Linked DNA regions of Danio rerio. The protein of the gene in region 2 interacts with the protein of the main gene of each other region in a biochemical or structural test. Links are inferred from orthologs where the notes say so. Each region holds a gene or a part of one and is shown on either strand. Other genes may lie near its edges.

Region 1 (6,269 bases), on a different chromosome or scaffold from region 2:
CTTGTATGCATACTGATTGTTTTGAGTTTAATTTGAAGTGACCATCCTCACAGACCTCGTTGTTTTGTTTGTGAGAATGTTTTTAGGTTAACTAGTCCATTTTAACTGGTAGCTGTGTGCAATTACCACATGTTGACTGAAACTGCTTGGACATGTTTCATAGTCAGCGGTTACATAAGACACAATCCTAAAACACTATTATTGCTGCTTTTAAGAGCAGATGTGCTTATAAAAGTTTTTTCCCCAAGTCATTAAGACTCATAACTTTAATAATTTAATGTTTTATCTTGTTTCCATCCAAAGATGCAAATTAAATGTATGTGCAAACAGGAATATGGCATAAAAGATGTATAAATAAAGCAGCGTTTTCATCCAGTGAGTCAAAGAGAACAAAATGGTCACTTCCTGATTAACTGGTGCTAATTATCAAAGGTAAAAACTGAATTTGCTGCATTAGGAAAAGCTGCGTGAATCTTTATTTAATATATGACTTGCGCCTCAGAATACAATGCCAACACTCAATGAACACGTGACGTGGTGGTGTTTAAATTCATGAAACGCGGAGCAAAGGTGCTCTTGATAATTCTGGAGATCATTATTAATATAATAACACTAATACTGATGGTTAAGGCGTCAATGAATGCCCAAAACAACATTTCAGATGTTTTCCAACGTGCTCAGCTTGCTGGTTTGTCCATTAACACACATTTTTATCATCACATGATCTCTTAGAACAAAATCACATGACTTTTTAAATGTGCATACTGGAATTTGTTCTGTAAAAGTCTTTCCTTCGTAGTTTATACGCATCTTATCGAATAAAATTTTATCCTACTTAGTTTTGCGCATTTTCAAAATCTATGTGCATCTTGCCATTTCCATCGACCGTTTTTCTATGCACATATCCAAAATGCACATGAAAATAGGTGAATGGAAACAAAGCTACTGTTACTTAAATTTAAAATGTTAATGCTTTTAATTATGAAGTGCTTATTTTATTTTTAGTAGCACAATAAATTAGCGCAATTACAAACCTATTAGGTTCATCAAGGTACAGTAATACAGCAAAACTGTATATTTGTGAAATAGTATCAGAATTGAAAATGTAGTTTCAATGTTTTGAAATGTTTTGCCAGTGCCGACAATTTGTACTTTTTAAAGTTGTTATAACATATATACAATACTGGTCAAAAGTTTGGGGTCAAAAGTTACATTTTTTAAATGTTTTAAAATAAGGTTCTCCTGCTCACCAAGGCTGCGTTTATTTAATCAAAAATACAGTACAAATTGTAACATTGTGAAATGTTATCATTTAATTTAATCATTTATTCCAGTGATTTTAAAGATGAATTTTCAGCTTCAGTCACACGATCATTCAGAAATAACTCTAATATTAATTATTATTATTATTATTATTGTTGTTGTTGTTGTTGTTGTTGTTGTTGTTGTTATTATTATTAATGGTAATAGTAATAAAAGTAATAATGACTGGAGTAAAACTTTCATTTGAAACTACATACAGTAAGTAATAATTAAATATTTAATACATAGGTATTTAACATTTTTTTACAATTATTAAACGCCGCCTTGATGAACAGAATAATGTAATGTAAATTATTAAATAATTTATGATAAAAAAATGTCCCCAAACTTTTGACCGGTAGTGTATATTTTTTCTGTAAAGAATGAGATGCATTTTTAAGGGTTATTTGAGTAGAAAGTTGAAAACATTAGTTGTCCACTAGCTGACTCTTGTATTGGTCATGATGTGTCATGATGAACCTTTTGTTGCTGTTGGATTTGTGATGCAAGTTGAGGATGAATATTCTGGCTGATGCTCATGCCAGGCATTTAGCATTTGAAATAGGAATTTTAATACCACGGTATTCTCTTAATCATCCTGCAAATTCCACAGGATTAGGCATGGTAATCATATCCTAAAATTCCATGACAAGACTGTTTGATTTCATCCAGTTTTTAAAAGATCTAATCTAGCCCAATCTCAAAAACAGAGTTTGTTCTCTAATAATCATTAAAGTCAGTTTCTGATGCTCTTCTGTCTCATCCCACGTTTAGTCCTGCCACAATTTTCCCCTAAGGAACGGGGCAGCTGCCCAGACATGCTGTGTATATGCGCGTGTGTGTGTGTGGCTGGTTGACAGCTGAAGAGGAAGACCAGCAGACACAGGCATGCTCAAGGCGTGGAGACAGACTCTCCCACACCATTTTTCCAACCTCAAAGCTGCTTGACGCTCCTCCCCTGCTTACAAACTAGCATAAGAGTCCAATTCTCCCAGATGAAAGGAGAATCCTCAACACATCGGGTCTGTGTTTTGTTCCATGTGAGATTAGACATTAGTCTAGCGCCGCTAGATTATGACATTGAGGACCCTTCCGTCCAGCAGCAGTTTTGAGGAAGAGTGGGTCAGGCTGACCAAACTACCCAGCACACAGGATGACCACTATTGCCTCGCAGGTAGAGCTTTTCTGAGGATTTGTGGAGGATTTCAGGTTCAAGGACGTCTATTTGTTGGTTTTTGTGTGGACAATGTGGAAGCTTCTGCCATTCCCAGGATTTATTTGCTTTTATGCGTCTGAAGTTTGTAGACATGTTAATTCAGCTGAATTTAATATTTAGCTAGGAAATATTTCAGAGAAATTTCACCTTTGGATTTGGATCTGCTCTCTGGATTTATGTATTTGAGTAAAACATAATTCTGTAAGGGGGCGAGGCAGTGGCGCAGTAGGTAGTGCTGTCGCCTCACAGCAAGAAGGTCGCTGGTTCGAACCTCAGCTCAGTTGCCGTTTCTGTGTGGAGTTTGCATGTTCTCCCTGCCTTTGCATGGGTTTCCTCAGGGTGCTCCGGTTTCCCCCACAGTCCAAAGACATGCGGTACAGGTGAATTGGGTAGGCTAAATTGTCCGTAGTGTATGAGTGTGTGTGTGAGTGTGTGTGTGGATGTTTCCCAGAGATGGGTTGCGGCTGGAAGGGCATCCGCTGCGTAAAAACTTGCTGGATAAGTTGGCGGTTCATTCCGCTGTGGCGACCCTGGATTAATAAAGGGACTAAGCTGACAAGAAAATGAATGAATGAATGATAATTCTGTAAGGAATTTCATTTAAGGACCAAACAAGGTGTCTATGTTTTATGGTATATATTCATTTTAGACAACACAATACCAATGTTTAACTTCAGAAGAAATGAGCATTTGATGAAAAAAATATTATTCTGCTTGAATGTTCTAAATGACATTTCTATTTGTCGAAATTTGTAAGAAATCAGTCAAGCGAAAGTCAAGTTTATTTAAATAGCTCTTGTCACAAAAATTATTGTTTAAAGCAGCTTTATAAAATAATTGCATTACAATAAAAAAAAAAAGGTTTAGGTTATTAGTTACCGTAACTTCATAACTTTAACTAATTAACAAGTAACTAATAGCTTTAGCAGCTAATGTTATATATAAACATAGTTAACCTGTAGTTATATAGTGTATAGGTGATGTTCATGTGTACATGTTATCAGACTTTTACAGAATAAAACAAATATTAAACCATACCCAATTAATCCAGAGAAGCCAGATTTTATTTATTATATTTGTATTATTAATTGCAGTTTTGAAAAAGAGCCCATTGTAAAGTCGGTGTGACGTCAAGAGCAAAGTGGTATCATTTTGAATCACCTTCATTTTGCGTCAGCTAGTTTCGGTTTTATCACATGTCTTCTCTCCTCTCACCTTGGTGTTCACTTGTTTATCGACTCCTCCTTTCCGGAAACCCCTCCCTCCCACCTCCTGTAGACTCATTCTGCCCCTCCCAGAGGCCTCTTCTCATCTGAGATCTTCTGCTTTATTGGCAGACGCTTGTGTTTTCAGTTTCTCATCTGCTGTGTTTTTTTCTCTGTCTCTCTTCTGCCAGAAGCCCTGCACAGGCCGTTTGGACTGGACTCGACGGCGCTGACGGAGGCGGTGCGCTGGAGCTCCAAGGAGAATCTGCTGGGTGCTGCTGAAAGTGACCCCAACCTTTTTGTGGCACTTTACGACTTTGTTGCCAGTGGTGACAACACACTAAGCATCACGAAAGGTATGATGTGAAGGAGACGAGTAGTTGCACAATAAATTGTGGTTGGTACAAGTGTGCCGCAAGCCTACGTTTGAGTGAAGGTTTCGGCCGTTAGATCGCCCCCTGGGGGCTGGCTGCAGTACAAGTCATAAAGCCCGCCTCCTCCGTGTTAATGAAGGAGACTTGAGCCCAAATAAAAAAAAATATTACACTTGCAATAAAATGTCCCGAAAGATAGTTCTGGTCGATTAAGGCACTGGTTATTGTGCTGAAATAGGTGCAGATCTTCATTTTTGTAAACAGTTTGTTTTTAGCAGTAATTTAATGCTGGGTGTGTCATCGTGATTGACAGCGGTGATTGACAGTTTCTCAAAGCGCGGCGTCTGAGCTTCGGCAGGAGACTGAAGTAGACTGAAATGTTATTATTCGATTTCTGTGTTATTTTACCATGACAAAATGAGTTCAGCAGTAAACTATAGTTTCTGACATACATGATCCTGGTGGAACACTGTTTATTCGCTAAGTTCAGGGCTTTTTTCGGGCTTTATTAGTTTGCTGATACACGCCTAACCACCCAGATAGCAAAACACAGTTCCGGCTAGATTCTCGCCTGCCGGAGACTTATCTCTTAGAGCTCAGACTGACTAATGTTACCTCTGCTGGACCTACTCCGGATGCCTGGACTTACTACCCAATTCCAGCCCGAGTCAATCGAGCCAGATGCGGCGGCCGAGCGAGCAGGCGCTGCCGCATGCGAGCCGGAATCAGCCCGCGACGCCGCGAGTAAGTTATGCGCTGCGGCCTGGAGCTGGCGCGATTAAATATATAAAACCCTCATATTTGTTAACGTTATTACATCCATTTGTGTTGATATGACAGCAAACGCATGCTGAGAAGTTCGGGGGGCGTAGTTGATTTTACATAAAGCGTTTGGTTGGAAGCTCGACTCCGCTCATTTTCGCGGCTCCTCCTCTGGCTCCATCAGACAATCCTTCTGCGCATGTCTGGCTCCAATTTCAGCAGTCTTTTGCGACAGTTTGTGCCCGTCAAGCAGGCGTTTTGCCCTCAAGGCGTTCAATGGGAAAAAGGGCTGTCGCGTCGTCCATATTTTTTACAGTCATTGGCTTGGTATCATTGTACACTTTAACCCATGGGTGTCCAAACTCAGTTCTAGAGGGCCGGTGTCCTGCAAAGTTTAGCTCCAACTTGCTTCAACACACCTGCCAGGAAGTTTCTACTATATCTAGTTGGAGTGTAATTAGCTGGTTCAGGTGTGTTTGATTAGGGTTGGAGCTAAACTCTCTAGAACACCGGCCCTCCAGGACCGAGATTGAAGACTACTGCTTTAACCGTTTGTTCTCTATTTTATATTTTCTGCAACATGGCACTGCACAGTGTGTTGCTGTCTTCAGAGAATGTAGTTAAGAGGTTTCTCATTATTTATTTATATGTGTTAATCAGTGGGCGGAGCTAAAAGGCAGTCTTGTTGTATGGAGGCAGGATTTAGCTACTAAAGTTGCACATTCAAGCAGTGTTGCCAGCTTAGCAAATTTGTCGCTTTGTTTAGCGACTTTTTAGACCCTCTAAGTAACAAATTTTCAAAAGAGCGACTAGCGACAAATCTAGCGACTTTTTTGGGTGTTACTTGAGATTTTAATAGATTCTCATGTGCCCATACTGTATCGTTTCTACTCTTCTCAAGAAGCTGCGGGTGATACCGTCGGCCCCTCCTCTGCCTCAGAGCACTGACAGGGTAAAGTCTAGATCTGATACACGGCCGGCCGGAAGTGTGATATGCACATCAATTATAGCAGCATTTTTATGAATCTGTATAACAATAATTCATATTTTACATTACTGTGATGGTTGGGCGGGGGGTAAACATTAATAAAATACAATTAATGGGAGATTTATTAAATAATATAAATAATTCTTATTAACTTCCAGCCGCAACCATATTCAATCTAGCAATCTACCACAGTCTCTCCCACCTGCAGGCCGAGAGCAGATCACTCCTCTGCGTACTGACGGCAAATGATTTAGCACCGTGAGTGTGAAGGTATTTCCCTTGTACAGTCAAACCGATCTGCTGCTTCTTTGTTTTAAATTTAACCGTTTAATTTGACTGTTTATTCTTTTCTTGTTCACAATCACAGATATTTTAGTAAGTTTCAAAACTTGTCTGAGTTTATTACGTCAGAGAGATTACCG
Region 2 (6,424 bases):
AGATGATTGAAACGCCATGCAGCTCTGGGCTACTCTCCATTGGAAATGATTGACTTCCGGTCTGTCACAGGTCGTGTGCAGTGGAAAGGCGGCATAAAGCGGTTGCAGAATAAATAGGAGATTTAAAGAAAAAACTCAAAAAAATTGATTCAATGTTACGATTGATTGATTCATTGAAAGATTCAATGTCCTTGACATTTTTTCTTTGAAAACACACAGCTACAACAATGTGGTGTAATTGAGTTGTAATTTTTCTGATAATGAAGTACATAAAAATGCAAGAATACAACGAAATCTTATGCATGCTTTACTGTGCATTTACACCGAAAGCTGGGAGAGCATCAAAGTAGCCCGAGGTCATTCACTTTCAATGAGAGCTGGTGGCGATAAGCATAGAGGAGCAGCGTGTTTTCGTTGACGTCGAGGAATGTTTAAATCAAGTCAACTTTACTGCAATAAGCTATGACACGGTTCGAGGGCAAGCAATCAGAATGTAGAAGTTCACCGCTTGAGATGAGTCCAGAGAACACAGTCCTGTAAACTTTGATTCCGACCACAGTTGTTCCCAAGGGTTTTAGTATTGCAGTTGCAATGTTTTTTTTACAGGGACTTAAATACAAATTTTTTTTTTTAAAGTTACTGATGTGCATTAATTAATTTTATTTTATTTCGTACGGGAAATGCATGCTAACTAACGACAGTACAAAACCGTACTGCTGCTTCAGAATATTTCAGACATTTGGACACATATTGGATAAGTGGAGGAAAGCCACTGCACATACAACAACTGGATCTTCTGTAGTTAAATGAATTTACTAAAAAGCTGCGCAACATTTTCTTACTAAAATACACATTTTTATGTGGGAACGTAACTAATTTGCTGATATGCTGCAACGGCTCCTTTAAATACGGGGTTAATGTATCGATTTTTGACGCTCTCGCCGCTGGAACTGTGAAAGCCAGAGAGAACTCTGATGCTCTTGCGCCTTTGGTGTGAACACAAAGTTATTGAACAGAAATAGCCACATTATCTCAAAGACAAATTGGAAGTTAAAACATGTTAAATGTGGTATCTTTATTTGATTTTAGATGTAGCTGCATTTACCAAACAGATCATGAACTATGAGTAACTAGTAAATGGTGCTCCATTTGAAAGCTGGAGATATACTACTGACCACAGAGCTGGCTTTTACTCACAAAACGACGTGCATGAACATTGTGTTTAAATAATTGTGCAGCTCCAGTTTATATGAGCTTATAATCTTTTAAATAAGCATTTTTTTTCTTTCAAAAACTTAACACTTTGCTTCAGAAAATATTAAATAACCCACTGAGCAGTATGAATGACTTATAACACATTAATGTGCTTTTTTGAAGCAAACATTGTGTACATTTACTTGCAATTCAAAGCTAAGTCACATTAGTGTTTGTCAGGAATAGGACATATAGTAGTCCACATTTAAAGTAGATCAAATAAAGTTCTGACAATCATGGCAAGAATGGATGTTGTTAAATAGGACTATTTTAGTACAACTTAAGATGGAAGGTTTTGATCCACTTCAAATGCTGACTACTGGATACATCTAGAATAACTTGAAGGTTCATAAATGATGCAATATTTTCATTTTTATATTTATTAATATCTCAGAAAAGTTTACATTTGTTACCTCCAAAGCAAGAGCTGTCTTATCATAGGCATTGGGGACTCTCTTCTGAATCGCCCTGGCATAAACTGGGCCATTCTGTAGATTGGGTAAGGATGTGGGCTGGGCGTATTGGCCCGGTTCACCAAGCAGAGGTGGAGACTGAGTGCTGTGGCCGTCAGAGTTGCCGTGAGCACCGGACCCACTGACTGATACGCCAGGTGCACCTGATGTCGGTGAGGCAGGTCGGTACTTCTCCACATAGGGCACAGGGATCATGCCAACACGGCCTTCTGAATTCTGAGCATTCCACCATTGCTCCTCTGGCTTCTCCAGCACTCGAAGAACATCACCCTTTCGAAATGGAAGGTCCTCGTCGTCGTTGCCGGGAAAGTCGAAGAGAGCTCTGACGTACTCCTCTTCTAGCCTCGGAGGAGCTCCTCCTGTCCCCGCATTGACGCTGATGAAAGACGAGTGCTTGGATTTGCTAATGGGCTCAATGAGAGTGGTGGTGTCCAGGTAGTGGATTTTGTAGAACTCCAACAGGGCAGGTAAGGCATCAAATTCCTGATCTCCAATCCGGAACCGAGGAGGAGCAAGCCCTGCGGGATGACATTATGAGATGATGGATGGATAATCAAGATCTGCTTAAATTTAAAGGGGTAGCTCAGCAAAAAATTCAATTTTTTCACAATTACTCATCATAATGTTAACACGAAAAAAAGTTACTGAACATAGGAATTTGGTAGGCATTTTATTTCTAATATGGAGGTGTAAATGGCTACTTAATTACAACATTCTTCAAAATATCTTCTTTTGTGTTCAACAGAAAAGAGAAACTAATATAGGTTTAGAACTTTTATCGGGGTGTACATTTAAACTGAACTCTCTCTAATCCATGAAAATCTGATAAGTGTTGCAAAAACTACATAGTATAACAATGTAACATTTTATGGGTTCAACCTATGGGAAAAGCAGCAAAAAAGATTGGAAATTAAATATTGCTGATCATTTCTGCAAACAAAAAAAGTGAGTTTATGTTATAAGTGATTGACATGACCTATAATAATGCGTGTAATTCAAATGAATGACAGACACATAACTAATAAGATTGTATTTGTTATATAAAAAGTTGATAAGGTGAGACATGTATGTCGGAGTAAGAATGTAATGAAGCAGCGGTTTTAAAATAAGGGTGAAACTGAAATAAACGAGCATTTAGTCAAGATAAATATGCACAAATTAATATAAACAAACAAATAAACAAACCAAGAACACAAAATTATAAGACACGATTCAAACGAAGCAAAATGTAAGTAGATAAAATAAAGATACTTCAAAGAATCTGCTAACGTGTGAACAATTGAACAACTATGTTAAATAATGACACATATTGCAACTAAACGTTTCCTATATTATATTATAAAACGAATTTGTATACAATTTTCACATAACAAATCTGGCATCATACACGAAAGCATACAAATCATTTTACACCCGAGAATGATATTTGGGGCCCGTAGTGTACAAGACCGAACCCCTGGTTACACAGCACCCCAGAATGACGCGAGATTTTAGACTGAATATGCACAACTATTCGTAGTATAGAAGTTTCATCGAGCTGCTAAGCGCTTTGCTAAAGCAGTATTTATCCGTCCTGTCGTTAATAGTATTTAAATACATTTGTTCAAACGCTTACCTGGTCCTGACTGGCGATTGCTGCTGATGCTGTTTATTATGTAATGAGAGACTTTGGAGTTCTCCGACACAGACAGCACGTAGTCCCCGGGAATAGTGATCGAGTCCCGCACCAGGAACACTCCATGCCTCTGCCCTTGGAGCAGCGAAACCGCCTCTTGCCGGCTTAATCTCCCCCAATACCAGCTCCCTCGGTCCTCCGAATCAAAATTTCCGGCCATGACTAGCGCTAGAAAAAAGCCCAGGCTTCACAGGCCTTCCCTTCGCCTCTCCTTATCCGCAAGCAGCGTTCAACTCATGCAAAAACTTTACCGCGTTCCGTTGTTGAACACGTTTCGAATACGCGCAGCATTCGCACACTTTTCAACGCTTTTTGGCCCAATCGATTAACAAAACAATTGACGTCGGTATTCCAACGTGCATGGGACGCAAAAACCGCGGCTATTCACCCAGAACTTCTGATAATTGTCCAGTGTAAACCAAAACGTACATTGGAAGTTGTCACAAGGAAGTTCAAATATTTCAAATGGCGGACAAGGGAAACAATTTTTGACCTTATTTCCCGGAAGTGATGCAATAGCCGCCGACGCGGATGGTGTCTGTTGGTGGTCATATTGGTGCGGTCAATATTGAAAGTAAGGCCTTATCTTGTATCATTATGGAGTTTCAATCTTTTTTTAACACCAACCGTTTTTTTTATTTTTAATTTATGTAATCGTATTTCGGAATTGTTCATATGAACACAATTATAACTTCTGAATTTACATTAGTTATACTGATCAATTTGCATCGCATTAATCTTTGTATTAACCCAAATTCCGCTAAACATAACAGTTTTGTTAAATTCTAGTGAGAGGTTCAAGTGGCTGGTCCAAACAGGTTGTTAACCAGTCCAAGCGGGCTGACCCCGAAATTACCTGAGCAAACAAACATAGTGTAAGTGGTCTAACAGTTAGTCTACTAAATTTAACAAATTAGACATCCCTTTAAAACATAAGTTAAATATGATTTTCATCAACCATATTCGCTAATTTATTTAAAGGTCGAAAGTGCTGTAAATTATTACAAAAAAAAAAAAAAACGGAAGTGCGTAAACACTGTCCTTTACAAGCGAGTCCACAAAATTAGCAACCACTAGATGTCGACATCGATTACTAATAGTTTGTAGTCTTTCTACCAGTCTCACCCAGTTACAATTCAGCTCTCAAATGGTCTAATCAAACATATTGACGACCAACATTATTCGTCGCGTAACGCATAAATGAAGTGTATATTTGTTAAAGGTTTATTGGTTTTGATACCAACAACAGTCAAATACATTTTTATTTGTTTACAAATAATCATACACATATTGCTGTTCCGGTTTGTCATTCCTTGCATTTCCCTTGGTTCATTAATCATTGTGGGAGTACAGAAATACTGACCAAGTCATTGTTCACAGCTCTTCAGTGCACTTTTATCGATATATATTCCGTAATGGCACAACTTGACTAAAAGATATGGCTTTGAAACACAGCAGGAGATTTTGAGGCTACCTGTTGACCATGAAATGACATGATAAATTGAAACATATTGGTCACCTTTACAAAGGCTACTAAACCATTCATGTAGGCTAATAAACCGTAATTTGAAGATGGAGCTTAGAAAAACACTGATCATATAAGCCATAGTTCTCAAACTGGAATCCTGGATGGCCACCACTCTGCATAGTTTTGCTCCAACCCTAATCAAACACAGCTGATTCAACCAATCAAGGTGTTCAAGACTACCAGTGACTATGAAGCAGGTGTGAGTTGGAGGTGGATAAAGCTAAACTATGCAGAGCTGTGGCCCTCCAGAATTGAGTTTGAGACTACTGCTATAAGCTATTATGATGATGTTAACGCACTATAGTATTTTCACTTAAGTGAATTCAAAATAATGGGTAATTAATTAAGACAAATCTAATTTTAAAATGTCTAATTTTCATGAAGACAAATCTAATCAATACACTGTAATTTACAGGCATATTTGAACTATTTTGAATTGCGTATATGAATAATGTGAAATTTTAAGTAGGCACTAAATATAGGTATATACTAAACACTTTATCATTTTATTATCAGTGGATAAATAGAAATGAAATCTTAATATCATTTAGAGGTTAAAGGATCTATTCTAACAAACAGAGAAATCTCACATCTCTTTAAAATCCATGTCCAGCAGCAACAACAGAATATCAGTATTACAAACCAATGCGTAGCCAAACAACAATTCCATGCAGTGAGTCTTTTCTCTTTGGCTTCAGTCCTGCTGCGTTTCCCAACAATCATGTTGTTCTTGGGCCAACACTGAAAAAAGATTTTGGTTTTCCACTGTATAAATTAGGGGCACTTAATACAAGGATCTACGTCCCATCCACCTGATACTTGGGACATGCATATTCACTGGACTGAATAAAATTGAAGTTGTTTTCCAATGCTAGAGAGAATGTGATGCTTGTGCCTGTCAGATGCATAGATGTACACACCGATTCACAGCTCCATTCTGCTTGAATCCAACATGTTAAAGTGCCCCTGTTTTGCTTTTTCACATTTTAAATTTCATGTAATGTGTGATCAGTTTTTTGCAATTAAAGGGTCTAAATTAATATGATAAAACTTTTGAAATGGTACATAATATTAGTTGAATCCAGAGGTAAAACTGTAGAAATGGAAATGGCTGTTTAGTTTTTGAGAAGCGCTGTAAGTGGTTGACCAATCACAACAGACTGCGGGGAGTAACCAATCAGAAGAGTGAGTTCTCAGACAGGAGAGGTTTAAGAACATAACTGTTTCAGACACTGTGGCCCAGTCCCCAATGGCAACTTAAACCGAGTCAGCACTTCGGTAATGAAATGCCACTTTGACTGATTGGTTTAAGTCTGCATGGTGATCGTTTCATTGCGGGGCTTAGAAGTGCACATCAAGGGCTCTTAACGGCTACAAAGGGACCAGTTGCACCCTTCTGAAAGCTAAATTACAGACTTTCATACTTGGTAGCTAAAGAAACTAGCTTGCAGGGATGGTTCCCAGGGAACTAATTTTTCCGGGACTATTTTCCTA

What was found.
Region 1: of the proteins of crk (region 2) and abl2, one has a biochemical effect on the other in vitro, tested with the Homo sapiens proteins (2 studies listed by BioGRID and IntAct, with this or other methods). The link is inferred for Danio rerio from reciprocal best matches to the Homo sapiens genes CRK and ABL2.

Annotation. Positions count from the first base shown.
Region 1 is NC_133183.1:16,721,794-16,728,062, forward strand, and holds the start of abl2 (tyrosine-protein kinase ABL2), read left to right. Parts: upstream 1-2,376; coding exon 2,377-2,476; intron 2,477-3,914; coding exon 3,915-4,079; intron 4,080-6,269. UniProt on the Homo sapiens protein: Non-receptor tyrosine-protein kinase that plays an ABL1-overlapping role in key processes linked to cell growth and survival such as cytoskeleton remodeling in response to extracellular stimuli, cell motility and adhesion and receptor endocytosis.
Region 2 is NC_133190.1:27,215,682-27,222,105, reverse strand, and holds the start of crk (adapter molecule crk), read right to left. Parts: upstream 3,866-6,424; 5' UTR 3,563-3,865; coding exon 3,343-3,562; intron 2,246-3,342; coding exon 1,668-2,245; intron 1-1,667. UniProt on the Homo sapiens protein: Involved in cell branching and adhesion mediated by BCAR1-CRK-RAPGEF1 signaling and activation of RAP1.